Linked DNA regions of Oryzias latipes. The protein of the gene in region 2 binds, or shares a complex with, the protein of the main gene of each other region. Links are inferred from orthologs where the notes say so. Each region holds a gene or a part of one and is shown on either strand. Other genes may lie near its edges.

Region 1 (6,297 bases), on a different chromosome or scaffold from region 2:
AGAATACACAATTTCTCCTCTATAGTTGAATCTAGCCCAGTCTGTTTGGTTTAGTTCAGCTATAACCTATTGAATTCTATGACTTCATGTTCTTTATGATTTTATTTTTATCGTACAATGAAGCCCATTGAGACAGCTATGGTTGTATTGTTGGCTCGTCTCGTGCCCCAAGCCGTCCCCCAACTCCACCTGGATGGAGCCCATCCACTGGACTATTCAAACATGAAGCTGTAGAGTTAGTTCAGGTGCGTCGCCTGTTCGTCCTGGGAGAGGATCCATCCTTCATGTGGACATCGCTGAGGTTTTTGAAGGTCAAACGATCCAACGGTTTACATCCTGTTACTGAGCTCCATCTTTCCACTGTTTGAATACAAACTATTGCTTTTTTAAAGATTTTCCTTTTAGACATTTTTATTCTTTAGAGGAGCACTTGGTGCATAATTGAGGTATTATTAGAGAGAGAGTTCAATAAACAGTTTGTTTTGGGATGTGTATATTTGCTGGAATCTCTTTAGGGGGCATCAGCTGTGATTCAGACTTTAAAGAAGTGCTTCCTCATATTGTCTTACCGATTAACCAGTACGGTCCGTGCAGATCCTCCTCCACCTCCCTGCCTTTGAATGAGGACTCCCAGAGTTCCTGCTCCGAAGTGCTCCCTACGCAGCATTTCTCCACACTCAGGATGTTGCCCTGGGAATCGCATATGAACTGGCTCACCACCGACGTGAAGCCCTGCGCGTTGATGAAGGACTTAAAGAACTCCTTCTCATACGGAGAAGCCCTGATCTTAAACTGGGCAGGAGCCATGGCTCCCAGGACGTTGGGGATTTTGCAGAACTCTTTAATGACGGCGGCGTTTTGAATCCTGGCTTCCGCGGTGAGAGGGAAAGAGATGAACACGTCCGACATCCCCGCGATGACCCCCGATGCTGAGCTGGCGACGCTCGTGAGGCTGGCGTGCAGGCACGAGCCCACTTTCTGCACCACGAGCGGGCTGAACGCGCCATGCGCGAAGTAGTTAAGAGCCACCATGACGAACGCGTCCACCGGAGGCGAGGGTTTCTTGCAGGAGACCGTTTTCATGCGGATTCGAACGGCGTCGACGATGAAAGCGATGCAGGGCCGCGTGAGGTGGAAGTATTCGAACAAAGCGGCGTCGTTGAATTCGTCAAAACAGGTCGAGTTCTCCTTCTCCGCCGCTTCTTCTTCCAGGAGAAGCTCGTGCACCGCCAGCCACACCGGAACAGCAAACGTCATTTTTGTTTGTTTGGAACGTGTATTTGAAGACAATAAGCACAAAACTAAACAACAAAAATGTGGAATACTTGGAAGAGGAGCAGCACCCTGTTATTGCTTTTCTTCGTCTATCAATAAAGTTAACAAAACGCAGCACCAAACTCACTACTGCCCCCTGCTGTACATTTAAAGATCTTTGTGCCAATAACAATAAATGACACACAGGACAATTTTCAAAATGAAACACCAAAAAATCTCCTTATTTGTAATAAAATGAAGTGTAAACAGAAAAGGAGGGAAATAGGACCCCCAATCTTTTTTTAAAATATCTTTTATGCACTTTTGTCATCTTTGAATTGTACAAAAATACAAAGGCAACAATGAAACAACAAGATATACAGTATATATATTATTTTATGTTTAGCCAGAAACTATAAACACAACTTGGTTCAGCTTTGAAACTTTATCTATTTTGTCTAAAATAACAAAAGTTGAGTTTATCTTGTGGAAAAATACCTCATCTTTAATGCACTGAAACATACTGTAAATGAACATATTTAAGTGATATTTTCTTATTGGTATGATGGAAACATCTTGATCAATTAAGAAAAAAAATTTAAAAGGTAAATAGCAAAGTCACAGTGCAAAAGTTACATACAAACCCACTAACCAGACCTGTTAACTTTGCATACAAATTTGCAAAAGCGAACAGATTTGGCATATTACACCATCAGAAAGGTTCCCCCAGATTATTAATAAATGAACAGAGAAACCACAAAACACCCAGCAGCAGACTGTTATGTTTTGGGTGATAAATAAAACATTTTGTTGACATCACTGATGGAGACATCCTTTATTCGAGGTATTCCCCCCTTCTGCAGGCATTCTTCACTCTGCTTTAGTGCATAAATATCTAAAAGACACAAAGAAGACACTTAAAGCTGTTTTCTTGGTGGTGTTTTCTTAATTTTGACATAATATCCGACCTTTTTGACATAAATTACTCACCCTTATTTGTATTCATTTATTTTAAAAGTATATGCTTTTATTATGTGAGGTACAGTTCCTTTTTTAGAAAAATGCAGCTGCAATTAGCGCATGTTAAAGCTAGTTCGGTTGTATTACTCCTAGCAGTGATTTTACTTCCTTTTTTTAAAATTCAATATAATTTCACTTCAAACAGCTTTTCTGTGATTTACGCTGACTGTTAGCCTGCAGCCATAAACTCACCTGTGATGTTGTCCACAGAGTCCAGTGGGGCTGTGTTGCTCATGTTGACCCCAAATAACACCACAACAAACACCAGTATTGCCACCAGCATATATATTGGCACTGCGAGAGCCCAATACCTGCATCAAACATTTCACTTTAAGATTCAAACAAAGGCTAACAAGCCTAGGGTAATCTCATTGTAAAAAGACATAAAACATAAATTCTAACTTGTCATATTGTTGCTACTTACTTTTGAGGCCAATAAGTGAGCCCTATAGAATGAAGCCATTCCTCTGGTATGTATGCCCACAAGCAGTACAGAACTTTGGGAAAAGAAACAGAACAAACATATTTTATTAAGAGAATTCTTTGATACTCTTTTAGGATAGACTTTTTTTTCAAATTGTTCACGAACTATTTTTACTTCTGTTCTGTTACATTATCTTACATTTATGTATAAACATATGTCCTTTCATTTCAATTTATTTTTAAATCTGATGCTTTTTCATACAGAAAGACCATCCAACCAATAAAAAAGACAACCTTTGAGGAAAGTGTAAATATTCATTTATAAGCAACAGAGTTATGTGATATTCCAAATTGAAATCTTTTTAGAATTATTGGGATTATTAGAAGAATTTTCTTTTAAATGAGAAAAAGACAATCCAATTTAAAAGTTAAACAAGACTTCTTCATTTGGCTTAATACAATTTTGCCGACTTATTAAATTGTGTAGTTTTAAGCCTAAATATGAACATAACAGGCCTATTAAAAAAATCCTACTTTTTACCCAAAACAACAACAACACACAACTAGCGTTTTAAAGTAATTTACAATATTTAAGTCACTACCATCCTGCCATCTTTCAGCTGAATTTTTAAAAATATATATAAACACAATAACCTTTTACTAATGTATACCTTGAGATATAAATAACTTAAAAAAAACTAATTATTGAAAGAATTCTATTGAGAAAAAAATCCAAAAAGGCTTGTTTTTTTTAAGTGAAGTCACATTGAATTAATGGCAGTCTGTTTTTCAGGTGGTCAACTATTTATCACCCTAGTAGTAAGGAGATTTAAATCTCCACCGAGAAACGGTTATTCTATTTTAACTCAAGTGAGTCGTCCTGCACATTTACAAATTTCAATGAGATTAGATTTATGGCAACATAAACAAAAGGAACAGAATGTCTTTGCTATATTACCAAGAGCCGTAGAGATAAGTAATTCCACAACATTTTACGTTGAATGACATCTTCTGCAAATAGAACTATGCTTCTAATTTGAAAGAACATGATGTGATGGGACTTAACTTACAGAAGCCAAACTGGGAGCCAAGGAAGAGAACAAACCCATAGATTGCTCTCTCTGGCATAGGTGATGGGGAGTTTTCAACCATGATCTGAAACCAGAACACAAACAGACCATCTATTGGGTAAAATAATCGAAAATAAACAATGACAAAAAGTCACTAAACTTACCGACAGATAATAAGTGTATTTTGGTTCGTAAGAAGAGCAGCAAGTTTACAAAAACCCCTAAAAACAGTTTAAATGTTTCTCAAATAGCTTGTTTATATCGTACCATCAGCTAGGTTCAACGATAGATAAAATCCAATTCTACTATTTCAAACGAAACATAAATAAAAATGTAAAAAGTGCATCTAATCATATTACGCCAAAACCTAGCTGACTGCTGTCAACAAAACGTTAGTCCATCACCTAAATGAGTTCGGTCAGAAACTGTACATCAGGAACAAAAGACTTTAAAGAAATAAAGCAAAATTACATATCAATCTTGTGTTCTTTGTTAGTAATGTATAGATATTAAAAACTATTTTCAAGCTTGAAAAAAGAAAGAAATAAAAAAATCAACGAAGGGAGAACTTTCTGCCGCTCGAACGAATCATGTTACTTTTTTCCTGACGAACATATTTGACTGTTACTCATTCCAGAAGCACCGCAGCATGGCTTCGTGAATGTGAAGGTAAACAACTTGAAACATAATTTTTCCCTGTTTGGGAGGATAATAAAGTGGCTATTTTTGCTAATAGAAACAGTGTGTGCCCTTTATCTGGGATACATATGTATGTGACACAGCGTTAACTGTTTTCGTTTACATCTCACCTAAAATTGGCTTCTTTCAAAAACGTGGCTGTGTAACACAGCAAATACTCCCTGAAGTTTAAAGAAGTGCGACCACGATGTCTAAAATCAAAGGAAAGGAAACTCCTGCTGGAAAAACGCAACAGCTGACGTCCAAAGAAAAAAGGAAGAAGTTTTTTATAAAGCATAATCGTAAAAAACAAACTTCCCAAAAGACTCTAAACAAGAAAAATCTAGAAAATCCTGGAGCAAAGCAAACTGCACCACCACAGGATCCCCAACAGTTTTCTTCCAACTGGAAAGCATTACAAGAGGTTTGTCTGACGAATATTAAACTCTATGCTCTTCATAAGCTGTGCAACTACTTATGTGAAAATGTATTTACTTTTAAAATGTAATTATCTTCTTTGTTTCCTGAACATGGCAGATCTTAAAGAGCAGTCAGCCAGAGAAGAAGCAGCCTGTTACACCAAAACATCGGAATGGTGTCTTCCCTAAGAAGTTTAAAGGAAATGAGCCTAAAAAGTTTCAAAATAAGAGCCCTGCTCCCAGCCAGGTGCACACAGACAGAGAGGGAAAAGTCAAAAGTGGCGATGCCCCAAAGGAGGATGGGGTGAAGGCAAAGATCCACGCCGCCTTAGACAAACTGCAACCTGGTGGTGCAAGGAAAAGGCAAAACGAAAAGACAGACAATGAGAAACCAGCCAAGAAAAAGAAGCCCGTCACTGAAGAGAGGAAACCCACAGAGTATGTATCCTTATTGCTAATACTTGACTTCAGTTCGGGTTTGCCTTGTAATCTTTGCTTGTGCTGCTGTAGGGAGGACCTTTGGTTTGATGACGTCGACCCTGACGATATTGAGGAAACGATGGGAGCCGAGGCTGCAGAGATCATGAGGAGGAAACAAGGCATGAAAACAAGCAAGAACGTAGATAGCGTTCTGGTAAAAGAGAACGCCTTTGATGGGTAAGAGAAACTGTTTTGTGTTCTTACGGTCAAAATGCCACACCTTCATTTGCTATCGATCAACTCTAGTTGAAATTCACCTTTCTTTATAGAGCTCTTTTCCTGTTAAAAAACACCTCAAAGTCTTTTACATAAATAAATAATAATTATATTAGTATTTATAATAAACACATGTTGTGTACAAAAACTAGCAGGAAAAAATAATCCATAAAATCAAATTAAAACATGAGGAAATGTAAAATCGACATAAAAGCTAAACTAAAAAGGTGAGTTTAGGCCAAAGTTCTGCCATGTGGCCTCGCTGTGGGTTTTTGTTTATGACCTCAGGGAGCACCAGCATAACTGGATCTGAGGGCTCTGGGAGGGTCGTCTGCTAACACCAGCTTGATTAAAATTAAAGTGCAATTTCATTAAACTAAGAAAAGTACCTTAAAATCGATCCTAAAGCTGACAGAGAACCAGATATTTCAAATTTGGAGTCCTTCTTTTTGTCCTGATATTTTTTGATAATTTTTGCTCAACAATCATTATTATAGTATATTGTTTTAATCTCATCTGCTGCTCTTCTTCATCATTGTTTTCTTGGTCGGATGTGTAAAAGTGTTGAAAAAGTCCATTCCTAGCAACTCTTTAATCTAGTGGGATACTTCCCGTGTGTGTTGCTCTCTTTGGGCATAAGTATGAGTCTTAAAATCGTCGGATTGTTTCGCAATTGCTTCCTGATGAATATGCAGCCATAGCTGTTGCAGAGTTTATGCTCATCTCAACCTGCAGCA
Region 2 (6,267 bases):
GAAAGTCAGTTTCAGACCCAAAGCACAGCTGTCATAGTTTGGTGACAAAAATAGCTTTTGAAAACATGCTGTAAATACACGAGTAGCATCCCTCACTATAATGTGGTTTGCCTTTCATGTCCTTGCAGTTAACTGGATATTTTTGTGTGCAATTGTGCACGTTTTTATTCGGCACGCTGTGTTCTGCGTCTTGATTGGTTGTCAGTCAGTTTCCTTGGTGCCGTGTCTCCTGTGCAGAATCAGTTCAGCTCGCAAAGATGATCTTTGTTTTCATTATACTGCAACTTTTTCTCTATGCCTGTCAAAAGTGTATAAAGTGTGCAGTGAGTGTTTTTACAGCCTTAAATCCTCTACTGTTAATGGAAAAAATAGAGTTGACTACAGTCTGGATTTCACCTATTGTGGGTTATTTGTAGAACAATTCTGTGATAAATGAGGGAACAGTATTTTACAGGGTAAAGGTTGACTGATGTGTTTGTGTAACAAACCGCCTAGTGGTGATTTTGGTGAACTGACCTGGCTCCAGTTACTTTACAAATGCAAGTCCCTTTGATTAGTCGTTGTTGATGCTAATGTAACACTTTATTCTTAATTTTGGTCAAATCTGTGCTGCCGTAGGTTTCATGGAAATTATTAAAAATGATTAAAAAAAATTGTTCGACACATTCCTTTAAAGTCATTTTACCAACCTTTTCGGTAGACGAGGCGGCTGACGACGACGATGGTTATCCTGTCCTTCTGTCGCTGAGACGGGTCGGGCGTGAAGTCTGTGGGGTCGACGGCGTTGGGAATGACGGACACGATCTCTGGCTGCAGCGTTCCCCGCAGAACGGTGTTCTCCTTACTGGTGTAGGACACACACACTATGTGGTTGGTGTCGCACAGAGACACCGTCAAGAGCTTGTTGGTCAACACGGAGCTCAAGTCAGCAAAACCAAAAAGTGAGTGGTCAGTGAACACCTAGAAACACAACAAGGTTGTTTTTGGGTGAAGTCGGTCAGTACAACCACACACAGAAGGTGGTGAAGGTAAAGCAGCTTGGTGGGACCTACTGTGTTCAGGCCCATGGTTTTGGCGTGGAAAAGTGCATCATGGGCCATGGCAGAGAAGGAGCTGTGAGCGTGAACCACAGTGATGCGCTCCCTGACGAAGACGCAGCGGAGCAGGGGGAGGCTGTGGAAGCAGGTGGTGGCCGTGGACTGGTTGTACATGACTTGCAGGGGCAGGTAGTAGACCTTGAGTCCGTGAGTCAGATACCTGACGCCCTTCCTCCTGCCGTACGCATGCGTGACGACCACCACCTTGTGTCCCTTTTCAATCAGACACTGCGACAGCTGATAAATGTGACTTTCAACTCCGCCCATGTTTGGGTAGAAAAAGTCCGACACCATGCAGATGCTGTGCTTCCTGCCGACCCCAGAGGAGTCGCTGCTGTCTGGTTTTGGTGAGGTGGCTACTTTCCTTCGCTGACTCATGGTCTAATCCTGGATTGGTGCTAAAACATCAGAAAAATAATCAAATAGTTGTTTAAAAAAGCTCACCCCAGACCCCAACAAATCTACTTTTTTCTCTATAGATTTTCAATGTGTAAACCAGAAAGGGATAAAAAAAAAAAACGACTAAGTTAGAGTCAGTTATGTGTGCAAATTCGAATGTTTTAGCAGGTTATTATTTTTTAATATCTAAAAATAAATAAACTATACCAAATATGAATGCAACACTTTTTGCTTAAGCACCTCTAACTCTCCACATATTTGATTTTCAAAATGTTTATGCAATATCAACAGAAGTTGAGCAGAAATTAATTCAATTTATTTATGAAAAATGGTAAATGGCGTATACTTGTATAGCGCTTTTCTACCTACAAGGACAAAGCGCTTTTACAGCCAGCGACCCATTCACCCAGTCACACACACATTCACACAGGCTCTGCTGCCAAACACAGGCGCCCGCCTACCACCTACCAAGGTGGGGTTCAGTGTCTTGCCCAAGGGCACTTTGACTCATGGGTGTGCAAGGTGGGAATTGAACCTGCAAGTTTAGGATCATGGGTTGACCGCCCTACCACTGCACCACGGCCGCCCCATCCTTTTTTTAGGAAAAAGGATAATGTTTATTTATACAAATGTCAAATACAATGTGTGATCCGAAAGCAATCTAATGATAGAAAAGAAAGTTACAAAGGCCCTAATCTTACTGAAAACAAGAACCTATTAAGATTTAAAATCTGTCTCCTGTCTTCCAGTATGAATTAGCTGTACGGGTCAGCAAAACAGTCAAAGTTTTACTGTGTTTGATGGGGGGGGTTCTGCAAATATAATTTTTAATAGAACCAACTTCCTCGCTGATTATTTTAACATAAATGTTTTCTTTTCTGTACCTCAATAGGAAACATGTAGGCTACATTAAAACCAATGTTATGCTAAAAGAAAGAAAAATATTGGGAAAAATTAATGTCAAACCTTTGCATATAAAGCAAGTAAAGTTAGCCTTCTACAAGGGAGTGATGGTACTTTATTCAAACCGATCTATCTCAAACCGAAGTGTCCCCAGTGATCTTTTAAGTATGATTATTATTGTTTTGTTAGCCAAAAACCGGTGTCGTTTTCTAGGACCGTTTCTGCAGAACAGCAATGCGAAATTTACCTCGAGTTTGTGGGCGGGACCATTGGTGGGGAGTAAGCCTGTGTTAATCTCATCATCCATCTGTTTACACACTCTCCCACTAGCTTACAGCCCCTCACAACCCCAACCTAACATTGGAAGAGTGACAAAAATGGAGAGCAATATCAGAGCTATCCAGTTGTTCAGTTATGAGCCAGATGCCAGCTCGGACGAGGAAAACAAAGACGTTCACGGATCTATTCGTCTGCGAGTGGATGCATCAGAATGGAGCGGAGCAGGGAGCTTGTGCTCCGCCCAGCACGTTTTCGATGCAACAAATACGCCATTGTTTGAACTGCATTTTCCGTCTGTTCCTGATTCACAACAAGTTGAATAAAGAAACAGTCAAATATGCCATTTTGAATTCAACTTTCTTTATACGTGTCTTCCACCATGAGAACAAGGTAACACCAAAAATACGATTTCATCAAAGTGGGTCTGTTAAGTGAACAAGAGAAAACAGATTCGTACAACCTTGTTTATAGTCTAAACTACAACTTTTAATTTAGGTCTGACAGTATTTAAGATTAAACAAAACAGTGACTAGCAGCTCAGATGACAATGGTCCCAGCCACAGAGACTTGATGAATAATCAGTGGGCTGTTTTGCATTCTTTCAAATAAGCTAGCTGTAATGGATCCGCTCCAACCAACAACAGACTATAAACCACATTCTCCTTCAAGTCCAGCATTCATATCATTCTAGCATCCAGAACAGCCTCTGGTGTCATTTATGTGATGTCGGCTCACAGAAGAAGCCCGTCAGACGAGAACTTTGGACACTTTTCATGAAGTTACACCTTTATCCCCCACCACTACCTGTTCAAGTCATTAATATAACGATGCTTGTGTCATTGACCACTTCTCCTAATAACCATTAAATAAGCTTAATCAAACGTAAATAATAAAAAAAAACTATATTTAAATTTTTACATTCACATAACGAAAGAAATATCAGGCAACTCTATATTCCATCATTTTATCACTCTTTTTGTCATGTGTGCGTATGTGTGTGTGTACTGGGGGTTGTCGGCACTGTTTGTCTTGTCATCTTGTTTTTACATTTTATTGTTGTATTTTATGCACAGCACCTTGACTGACATGTGTTGTTGTAAAAGTGCTATAATAAATAAAGGTTGATTTGATTTGATTGGGATAATGTCAACTGTAAAGGGAGAAGAAAATATATTCCTTCTCCAAAACCCCCACACAAATTAAAAAAATAAATAAAACAATAAATACAAATCAATAATGTGGCATCAATATTTTCCTTAAACACCTAAATAATAAAAATGTTTACTCATCAGTGCTGATACAGCAGTCTCTGTTTAAGTTAATAATTTTCAAGTCCAATATTCCAGACATTGTAAAATAAAACGTCAGTATAGCCGAACTGGGGGGAAACTAGCTACCTGTAAACTGTTCCAATAGCCAATCCAATAACAGCTTAGTTACTTCTTTTACATGAAGAACTATTTTCATTACGTCATTTGAATGACTATTTTCGCTCCTGACAGCCTACGTTTGGCTTACCGTGTGCAGAAATGTCGGCTTTGTTCCAGCTTTGAAAAAATAAAAAGTAAAACACGCTCAGTGGTCGATTCTTTTCCCTCCAGTTCTTTATGCTAACCGTTTAGCCGCCTGTGCTACTTCCTGCTACGTCAGACGTAGTGAGTACGTCAACTGCGTTCCCCGTTGATCACGTGGGTGTCAGAAGCATCTTCAGTGCTTTTTTTCATTAAACGATTGAACATAACAGAACATGGCTGAACATACAAGTAATTAAAAAAAAAAAATCAGAAATTACAGTCAGAAGAAACAAACGCAGAACAACATAATGGTAAAATAAAATAATCACAAATTTAGCTAGGCTTATTTTTTTCGATTACATCCATTAGAAGTTTTGATTAAAATAATAATAATAATAATAATAATAATAATAAGGAAAATCATGTGTGTTTTTTTAACCAAACACCAACAAAGCAAAAAAAATCAGAGCTTCTTCAATATAATACAGATATCTGACCTTTAACACTAAAAGAGCCATTGAAGCCTGTTTCTTATCGACCAAAGCAACTTCAAAACTCTTTTTTTAGACCATTAAGCCATTCTTTTATAAAACGTATTAATGTAAATACTTTCAATGTAAAAACTTTTTCCAACTGCATTTTTTTGTCTGCTCTTGATTCACAACAATTTGAATAAAGAAATACTCATAAATTCCATTTTAGGCATAATTTTCTTCATACTTGTCCTCCATCATGTGATGTAATGCCACAAGAACAGGTTAAAAGAAACATCAACATGATTTTCATCAGAGTTACAGATGTATAGATTATACACACAAGACACCAAAATGAATTAAAATAATGCAATGCAGCTAATTTTGTTTTTAATTATTTTTGTTAGATAACCTTTATTTAACCAGATAAAGACACTTCCCCTCAAGGGTCTCCACAGCAAGTCAGTTTTCAGTGATCCACACATTAGATTTGGTTTTCGCCGGATGCCCCCTCCTGACTCAACCCTGCATTTTATCCTGGGGGAGGACTGGCACTGGCAGATCCAGACTCGGGCCTCCTTGTGACCACATAGTTAGGCAGCGTAGTGTGAAGGGTCTGTCCTAAAGGACCCACATTGGATGAAGCTCATCGTGTCCCCAATCTGAATTCCCATTCGTTTTTTTTATGTTGCAAATCAGCTTCTGAAAAGTTTAACATGATGCTTTTTACAGGATGGTTCATTAACCAGCATTCTCTTCAACCGACAAGTAATGGAAAGTGTTGAAAAACAATGGTTATTACAATTTATTATCATTTTAAATGATACAAAACTATACAGGAAATAAAAGAACACAACAAATGTATCCCAACATAAACAACTTTTTCGAAAAATTTACATGTCTTGTATTCAACATTGTCAGCATTTGACAAAACTTCTCAGAGCCAGCAAGTACTTCCTGTTTGGAAGGTGATGTGGGAGGAGTCACTCAATCCAGTTCTCATCTACAGTCAAGAGTTTGAGGCTATTACTAAACATTTGACAAAACCCAGAAAACAAAGTATGAATCATTAACTTGCTCTTTTGTAGTTTTTTTTTTTTTTTTTACGTAGATTTGCTTATCTGCCTTGGTTTCTATGTCAGCAGGTTCATAAAGAACACATTAAAGCTCATTTTTAGACTTTGACCTAAACTCTGCTGCACCTTTTTTTTACCATTTATTGGTTTAATATTTTAACATCTGTCTAAGTTTGTTCAAGCTTTCCTTTTGAAACAGAAGGCTTCGCCTTGAGACATTCGGAAATGCCGTCGGATAGACAACAGACACTAAAACATGTTGTTGATATAAAACACGCTGTTATGAGTCAACTTTACGATTCGTCTTTATGAGCCTTCAGTCACGGTGCACAACAAGGTTTTGTGTTTGGCCCTATATATATTTATAATACTCTTTGGTTAGTTTGGCGTATTTTATGATTCACAGCAAAAATGCGGTTTCTATGATGACGACAGAAACTATTACTGTCTTTTAAATAAGGCGATGTTTTAAAGTTTGAAGGGAAATGTCCTGATTTTTATTTACTTTCTCTTGTACTAAAATAAG
Region 3 (6,359 bases), on a different chromosome or scaffold from region 2:
TCTTTTGACGTTTAGTTTGGTGGGGACAGCACCGGTTCTGTCCCGTCATGGACTCTTTGTCCTGGTGGACTTTTGGATCAACACTGCTGCTGTGATCTCTTTTCTATGAAGCTGGATGAAGCGAAGAGGCTGGTAAGAGACGCCATCACTGCCGGGATCTTCTGTGATTTGGGCTCGGGCAGCAACGTGGATTTGTGCGTCATCACCGCGGCCGGAGCAGAGTACCTACGAGGTTACGACAGGCCAGCAGGGAAGGGGAAAAGGTTGGTACAGTTAGAGCCCTCATGATTGAAGAAGTGGTTGCTATGGTTACCGCAGAAGGGTTTGAAACTCAACAGTGCTGTGTCTGCAAACGTGTCTTGCTTGTGTTTTTCAGAGAGGGACAGTACAGGTACAAGCCGGGAACTACGCCTGTCCTGACCAAAACCCAAACTCCTCTCAGTCTGGACGTGGTCGACGCAACTGTTCAGATGATGGACACTGAATAAAAAATGTCTACATCCGGCATGTTCAAATATGCAACGACGTCCGTACATGCAAGAACATGGCTCACATTTGATCACCTCCTTTTCTTACCGGCATTCGTCCTCAGCAGTATCTAACGGATCTGTGTTAGCATGACCAATGGAACACGCAAAGTGAAATGCTTGATCCGTTCCATGAGGAGAGTAGGAGCCGCAGTATGAATCCTTCTGTTCGCACATTTGAACATGTTTGTTTCGCTGAAGTCAAATAAAATCAAAACAGTTGAAAAATACTGTGAAAAGTGTTGAAGTTACAGTTACGGGTTTTGTTCATGGATTCTGGGTGTGTCGGTGGGCGGCTCTAGATATGAGGGTGTGAGGCCGTAACCCCTGTGCTTAGATGACCCCCCCTTCCATTGACGTGTTCCCCCTACCATGACAAAGGTGGATAAAGGTGGAAAGATTTCATGTAATCCATGGACACCAGTGAAGATCACAAATCATTGAAGAAAAAAGGTTCAGAGCTCTGTCTAGTGGGTCTAGATGACCCAACTCCCAATGGTAAAGTGCCTAGGATAGAACAAGAGTTAACCAGTGACTGTGTATGGAGACCTGGACTGGGCACGCCCCTCCCCCTGGCGTTCCAAACAGGAAGTATCTGCTGGTTCCAAGAAACCAGAATCCCGTACATGTCTATAGAAATGACCAGATGTTCCTCAGTCATTCTATTGGTCAGAAGAAGCGTTCTGGATCTGATACCTTTTGTTAATATATTCTTAATAATCCTCATTTGCTTTCTTTATTCAAGATCTCAGCTGACCAATCAGATCCCTCAGTAAGAGCTTGTGGTGCCTGCTGCCCCCCACCTCTAACGTTTGACAGATTTTCCTGAGCTGCTTTCAGGTCCTGAGCTGAAGGGGTGTGGACTTCAAACAAGCTTACTTCTGATTGGCGACAGTAGTTGCCATAGAAACGACCACTCGCACCAACCACTGTCGTCTGGCTCCAACATGGCGCAACCGTATCGAGGAAAAACGGCGACTGAATCGGGTTCCTTTAGCTGGAGCTGGGGGTTAGGTGTTTTCTACGGGTGGCTCACCCTCGATCAGTCCAGTTCTCTATACAGTCAATGGTTGAAACCGATTTTCTACTATTTTAATTTGTGATTTTATTGATGTAGAGAAAACAGTTAGGTAACATGGAGCAAGACAAGAATCCAGCCCATCAGGAGGGTTAAAGTCCAAACTAGTGAGAAATGACAAAAGTATTCAGACTTTTGAAACACCTAAAGACTCCACCCACCGTACTCATCTGGTGTACAAATGCTGCCTCCACACAGTGTAGATACTGAAAACGAGTGACTCCCAGCATCATGGAGGTCAGCAGAATGCTTGGCAACCATTAAAACATCTGTAGGACGGGGTGATCTATGTGAAAAGGTTTATTTTTCAGTTTGAAACCCAGACTTCACTCACAGCCAGCACTCATACCCACAACACCAAGCACATGTTCTGTCAAAAAGATTCCCAGAGGAGGAAAATGAATCCATGTGACTTTATAAAGTTCCATTTTCCCATGGAAAGTGGGACTAATCCACTTTCTTTGGCTTGTGATTCATCCACACAACAGCTGCTGTGAAAGCCCCTGCAGAGAAGACAAAAACCAGAGGATCACCGCGTCCGTCTGGCATGAAGACGTGTAGACAGCGGGGTCATGAGGTCATGAGACGGCATACTGACCTATCATGAGGAGCAAAACCACTGCTGCAATGCCCGGCAGGATGACAGAGTACTCACGAGGAAGGAAGTACTGCTGCAGCATGTGGTCACCGTCCATGAACGGCTGCAATTGGTGCAAATCACAGTATTAGAGTCCACCTTTGTCCTACAGATATTTAAGAGGCTCCATCAGGACGTACCAGAACCACGACCCACACAGAGTAGTACGAAAACAGAGCCAGGCTGAACAGAACCAGACCCATGCCGACAGCCTGATCCACTCCAGTGGCCTGAAAACCAAGAGCAGAAAAAGTTCATCAGTGACCCAGCTTTGGACCGGGTCTCAGACTGCGGGTGCCGCAGCAGTTAAAGTCAATGAGTTCTATCGCTAGAGGAGACGTCATGGGATTCTTCATGGGAGGAGAGCACCGCCATCTTGGTGAGGTCAAGTCACTGCTGCAGTTCAGCATGTGAACTCAAAATCCCAGTTCATTGTGCGGATTTCAACTGTCAAAATCGAGGAAATTAGTCCACGAAGCAGGAAGGCAGAACATTTCACAGGTAAGTATTTTAATGTTTTTCTTTTAATGCTGGAGGGGCTTCATGAATAGAACACATGTAGACATGCATGATGCTGCAGGGCTGTTATCAACATGCTGCATGATGTACGGAGAATTTGCTGTCGACATAAATGTAAACTTTATTGTGTTAAACCTATATACAGTATACTAGGACTAGGCTATTATAATAATATAGATTTATACATTTCTGACTCAGACTGAACTTTTCTTGCAGGTTTCTAATAGATTCAGACTTCAGGAAAAAGTGGATCTTAGCAATAAAAAGAGCTAACCCAGATGGATCACTGTGGTACCAACTAGTGATACAGTCTGGATATGTTCAGAACATTTGTGGAACCAGACTTTGATGAGAGGCCAGAATGTTAGCCTGAAACCCGACACCAAGGAATCTGTGTTACACAAACTGATCACTAACATGAATCAGTTAATCTATTGTTTCTCTTTGTTTTTTCAGGGTAAATCTGTTATTGACTTTTGGACTTATTGTTGACTTATTATTGATTTATTCTTATAATTTATTATTATTATTGAATTACTATTTATTATTATTATAATTATTGACTTATGTATATATTGTTATTATTCATTATTATTATTGGCTTCCTATTGACTTATTGTTGGGCTTTTCTAAATAATTTAAATTACGTTTCAAAGAGGTCTAAAACTTCTACATGTTTAAAAATTATTTTTAAAAATTCTTTGTAATAATTTTTTTTGTAAGAAGTCCTGCAACTCTGCATTTTTCATTAAAGTTTGAGCTTTTAATGCTGCCTGTTTCTCTTATTTAAAAACAAATGATGCATATACATAAATGATATACATATATATTTATATATAGGTATAAATATATATAAAAGCTACTAGATGCCACTAAAGGCAATAGAAATCATTGTCACGTGGGCGCTGACGACCTCACCAAGATGGCGTCGCGCTCCGCCACCGTCGGCCAGGCTTCCCAAGCGGGTGTGTCTCCTCTAGTGATAGAACTCATTGGGTAAAGTTTCTGTGGGATGTTCTTCTAACTTCAGAGTAAATAAATACAATGAAAAAGGCCAAACTGACTACAGCTGCGGCTTCAATCTCAGCGTTTTTTCATGTGCGGTGAATAAAAATGTCAGAGACCAAACGTCCGTTTTGTCCGCATTCCCGTGAGGAGAAAACATTCCTGTCGTTCTTCTGAAGGCCGGTTAGGGACCCGGTTAGGGACCCGCGGATCGTCATTAAGCCTTAAGCGTCAAGAGCTCAACGCGAAACTTCAACCTGCTTTTAGGCACAATTCTTCATGACGGCGGCCTGTAAAGGTCAAACCACTGCGACTGTTTATCCCCGTAAAATCATGTTTGTAAAGGGATTTCCTATAAAATAAATTACTTAAACGCCGCTCACCATTGTTGACAGGCGGTAGAACCACGTGACCTCCGTTTTTCCGGTTGGTTTATGTCCGGCTGCAGCTGCAGGAGAAAGTCCCGTGACCGCCCCCTGCTGGTCTGGAGTAACATGACAAATAGAAAAACGTCCCGCCTGATTTTGTTGTTTTTTACATTTTCTGTCTTGTGGGATTCCTGAAGCAGCAAACAGTTGGCGTTTCGACATCCTGGCCATTTGGAAAGGAATATTTTTTATGACTTTAGGATTTGTGTTGAGATTCATGCTGGAGTCTCACAGGAACGTTCATATTCCATAAATCCATTTTCTGCACTAACCCACTTCAACACGACAATCTGGCTCCAAGAGATCGGCTTTAGTCATGGTGGTCATCCTCAGGCAAAGCTACATTATTCCCTGGACTTATGGACCGGACCATCCAGGAGTCATGGACCGGACAACGCTTCTGCAGTGATATGAGTCATCACTTTTTTGATTAAACTAAAGAAATGGTAGTTACTGGTAAACACTCCTACCAGTAGAACCCGCTCATCCACATTCAAAATAATGAAATAAAAACTATCCAATACTTTCATAACAAATCTCTAAGAAACAGAAATCCGTACATGATGAACCTTTTTTTTTAATCCAGGTCAGAAAGTAGATCATCAAGAACAAAGATTTGTTTAAAAAAATAAACAAATACATTTTCAGAGAGCTTAAGTGTCGACATTCCGCTAAATAAATACATAGTTCAGCGATACAGTTCAGAAAAGTTGCTTTTGAGTTCAAAGATTTTAAAATACATGTTTTTAATTTACAATGCAGTCCCAATGTTTAGACCAGCTAGTTGGTGTGCAAACAAGAGCAAATGTTGCAGACACTGATGCATTCATGTTCCTGCAGTGATAAATGCTCTTTGCTGCTGAAAAAGATCATTCATTAAGAACAAACTACAGATCTGACGGTAAAGACATTTGACCACTAAGTATTTGCTCATCACTCATTATTTAATTAGAGTAAAAAAACTATAGAAACACAATCCAGAACTGTTGCCCTAGTTGAGGCCTGGCCTGGGTTGGCCCGCCCTACTGCCAACTCCTGGGGCTACCGGGTTGATCCTGCCAGCAGAATTCACTCGTCTGAAAAATGAACCATCCAAGTCAGTTTGGTAAAGCAAGAACTGACCTGCGTGGAGAAATGAATCTGAATAAGATAGTCAAAACATAGCCAGTTGACAGTTGACAGTTGCTCTACGTCAATGTTACCCTACTTTTTATTTAAATACTTAAGACTAAATAATAATGGATTGATCTGCTTTTCCAGACGCTCAAAGCGTTAACAGTGAGTCCATCATTCATTCATACTTGGTGATGGTAACTACTGATGTAGCCTCAGCTGCCCTGGGGCAGACGGACAGAGGCGTGGCTGACAGTTGGCGCCTACGGCCCCTCTGACCATCACCAGGACATTCATGCACATTCATGCACCAGTGGAGGCAGGGAGGGTGAAGCGTCTTCCCCAAAGACACGACAGTTGGCTGGGGGGAGAGGGGATCGAACCAACGACCCTTCGATCATTGGACGACCTGCTCATCTGCCTGAGCCACTGCCACCCATCCATCCATATATCCATCCATCCATCAAATTTCAGAAGTTTATTCACTTTCCCACCAGAGACAACAACACACTGGATCAAGTCTACTGCAACATCCCAGGTGCATACAAGGCTGCAGCAGCTCCTCACCTGGGCATGTCGGATCACATCTCTGTGGAGCTAACCCCCACATACAGACCTCTGATCTGCAGGACCAAACCAACCATCAAAACAGTTCAGGTATGGACCGAAGAGGCTTCTTCTGCACTACAGGACTGTTTTGAACTCACTGACTGGGAGGTGTTTAAAGATGGCTCAGACCTGGAGGCCTACACAACATCCGTCCTGAGCTATGTGCTGTTCTGCACCGATGCTGTTCTGCCCACAAAGTCCATCAAAGTCTACCCAAACCAGAAACCATGGTTTGATGGAACAGTGCGGTCTTTGCTCAAAGCTCGGGATGCAGCCTACAGGTCAGGTGACAGGCTGGCCTACAGCAGAGCCCGGACAGAGCTGAGGAGGGGCATCAACCAGGCCAAACGCAGACACAGACAACAGGTGGAACAGCACTTTGCTAATAACAACCCGCGGGAGATGTGGAGAGGCATCAGAACCATCACAGACCACAGGAGCAG

The links. Proteins that work in one complex are often made in the same cells at the same time.
Region 1: piga (region 2) and pigp share a complex: the UniProt entries of both Homo sapiens proteins name them as parts of the glycosylphosphatidylinositol-N-acetylglucosaminyltransferase (GPI-GnT) complex. The link is inferred for Oryzias latipes from reciprocal best matches to the Homo sapiens genes PIGA and PIGP.
Region 3: piga (region 2) and dpm2 share a complex: the UniProt entries of both Homo sapiens proteins name them as parts of the glycosylphosphatidylinositol-N-acetylglucosaminyltransferase (GPI-GnT) complex. The link is inferred for Oryzias latipes from reciprocal best matches to the Homo sapiens genes PIGA and DPM2.

What each region holds. Positions count from the first base shown.
Region 1 is NC_019877.2:8,246,259-8,252,555, forward strand, and holds pigp (phosphatidylinositol N-acetylglucosaminyltransferase subunit P), read right to left. Parts: upstream 4,188-6,297; 5' UTR 3,932-4,187; intron 3,853-3,931; 5' UTR 3,850-3,852; coding exon 3,768-3,849; intron 2,772-3,767; coding exon 2,699-2,771; intron 2,586-2,698; coding exon 2,467-2,585; intron 2,150-2,466; coding exon 2,034-2,149; 3' UTR 1,552-2,033; downstream 1-1,551. Other genes in the region: putative nuclease HARBI1, read right to left, coding at 570-1,257; rexo4 (RNA exonuclease 4), read left to right, coding at 4,654-4,869, 4,983-5,302, 5,375-5,521. UniProt on the Homo sapiens protein: Part of the glycosylphosphatidylinositol-N-acetylglucosaminyltransferase (GPI-GnT) complex that catalyzes the transfer of N-acetylglucosamine from UDP-N-acetylglucosamine to phosphatidylinositol and participates in the first step of GPI biosynthesis.
Region 2 is NC_019879.2:3,735,184-3,741,450, reverse strand, and holds the start of piga (phosphatidylinositol N-acetylglucosaminyltransferase subunit A), read right to left. Parts: upstream 4,335-6,267; 5' UTR 4,197-4,334; intron 1,496-4,196; 5' UTR 1,476-1,495; coding exon 1,053-1,475; intron 961-1,052; coding exon 690-960; intron 1-689. UniProt on the Homo sapiens protein: Catalytic subunit of the glycosylphosphatidylinositol-N-acetylglucosaminyltransferase (GPI-GnT) complex that catalyzes the transfer of N-acetylglucosamine from UDP-N-acetylglucosamine to phosphatidylinositol and participates in the first step of GPI biosynthesis.
Region 3 is NC_019870.2:30,338,561-30,344,919, reverse strand, and holds dpm2 (dolichol phosphate-mannose biosynthesis regulatory protein), read right to left. Parts: upstream 4,173-6,359; 5' UTR 3,985-4,172; coding exon 3,886-3,984; intron 2,473-3,885; coding exon 2,383-2,472; intron 2,307-2,382; coding exon 2,204-2,306; intron 2,109-2,203; coding exon 2,053-2,108; 3' UTR 1,888-2,052; downstream 1-1,887. Other genes in the region: proteasome subunit beta type-7, read left to right, coding at 112-263, 377-488. UniProt on the Homo sapiens protein: Regulates the biosynthesis of dolichol phosphate-mannose. Regulatory subunit of the dolichol-phosphate mannose (DPM) synthase complex; essential for the ER localization and stable expression of DPM1.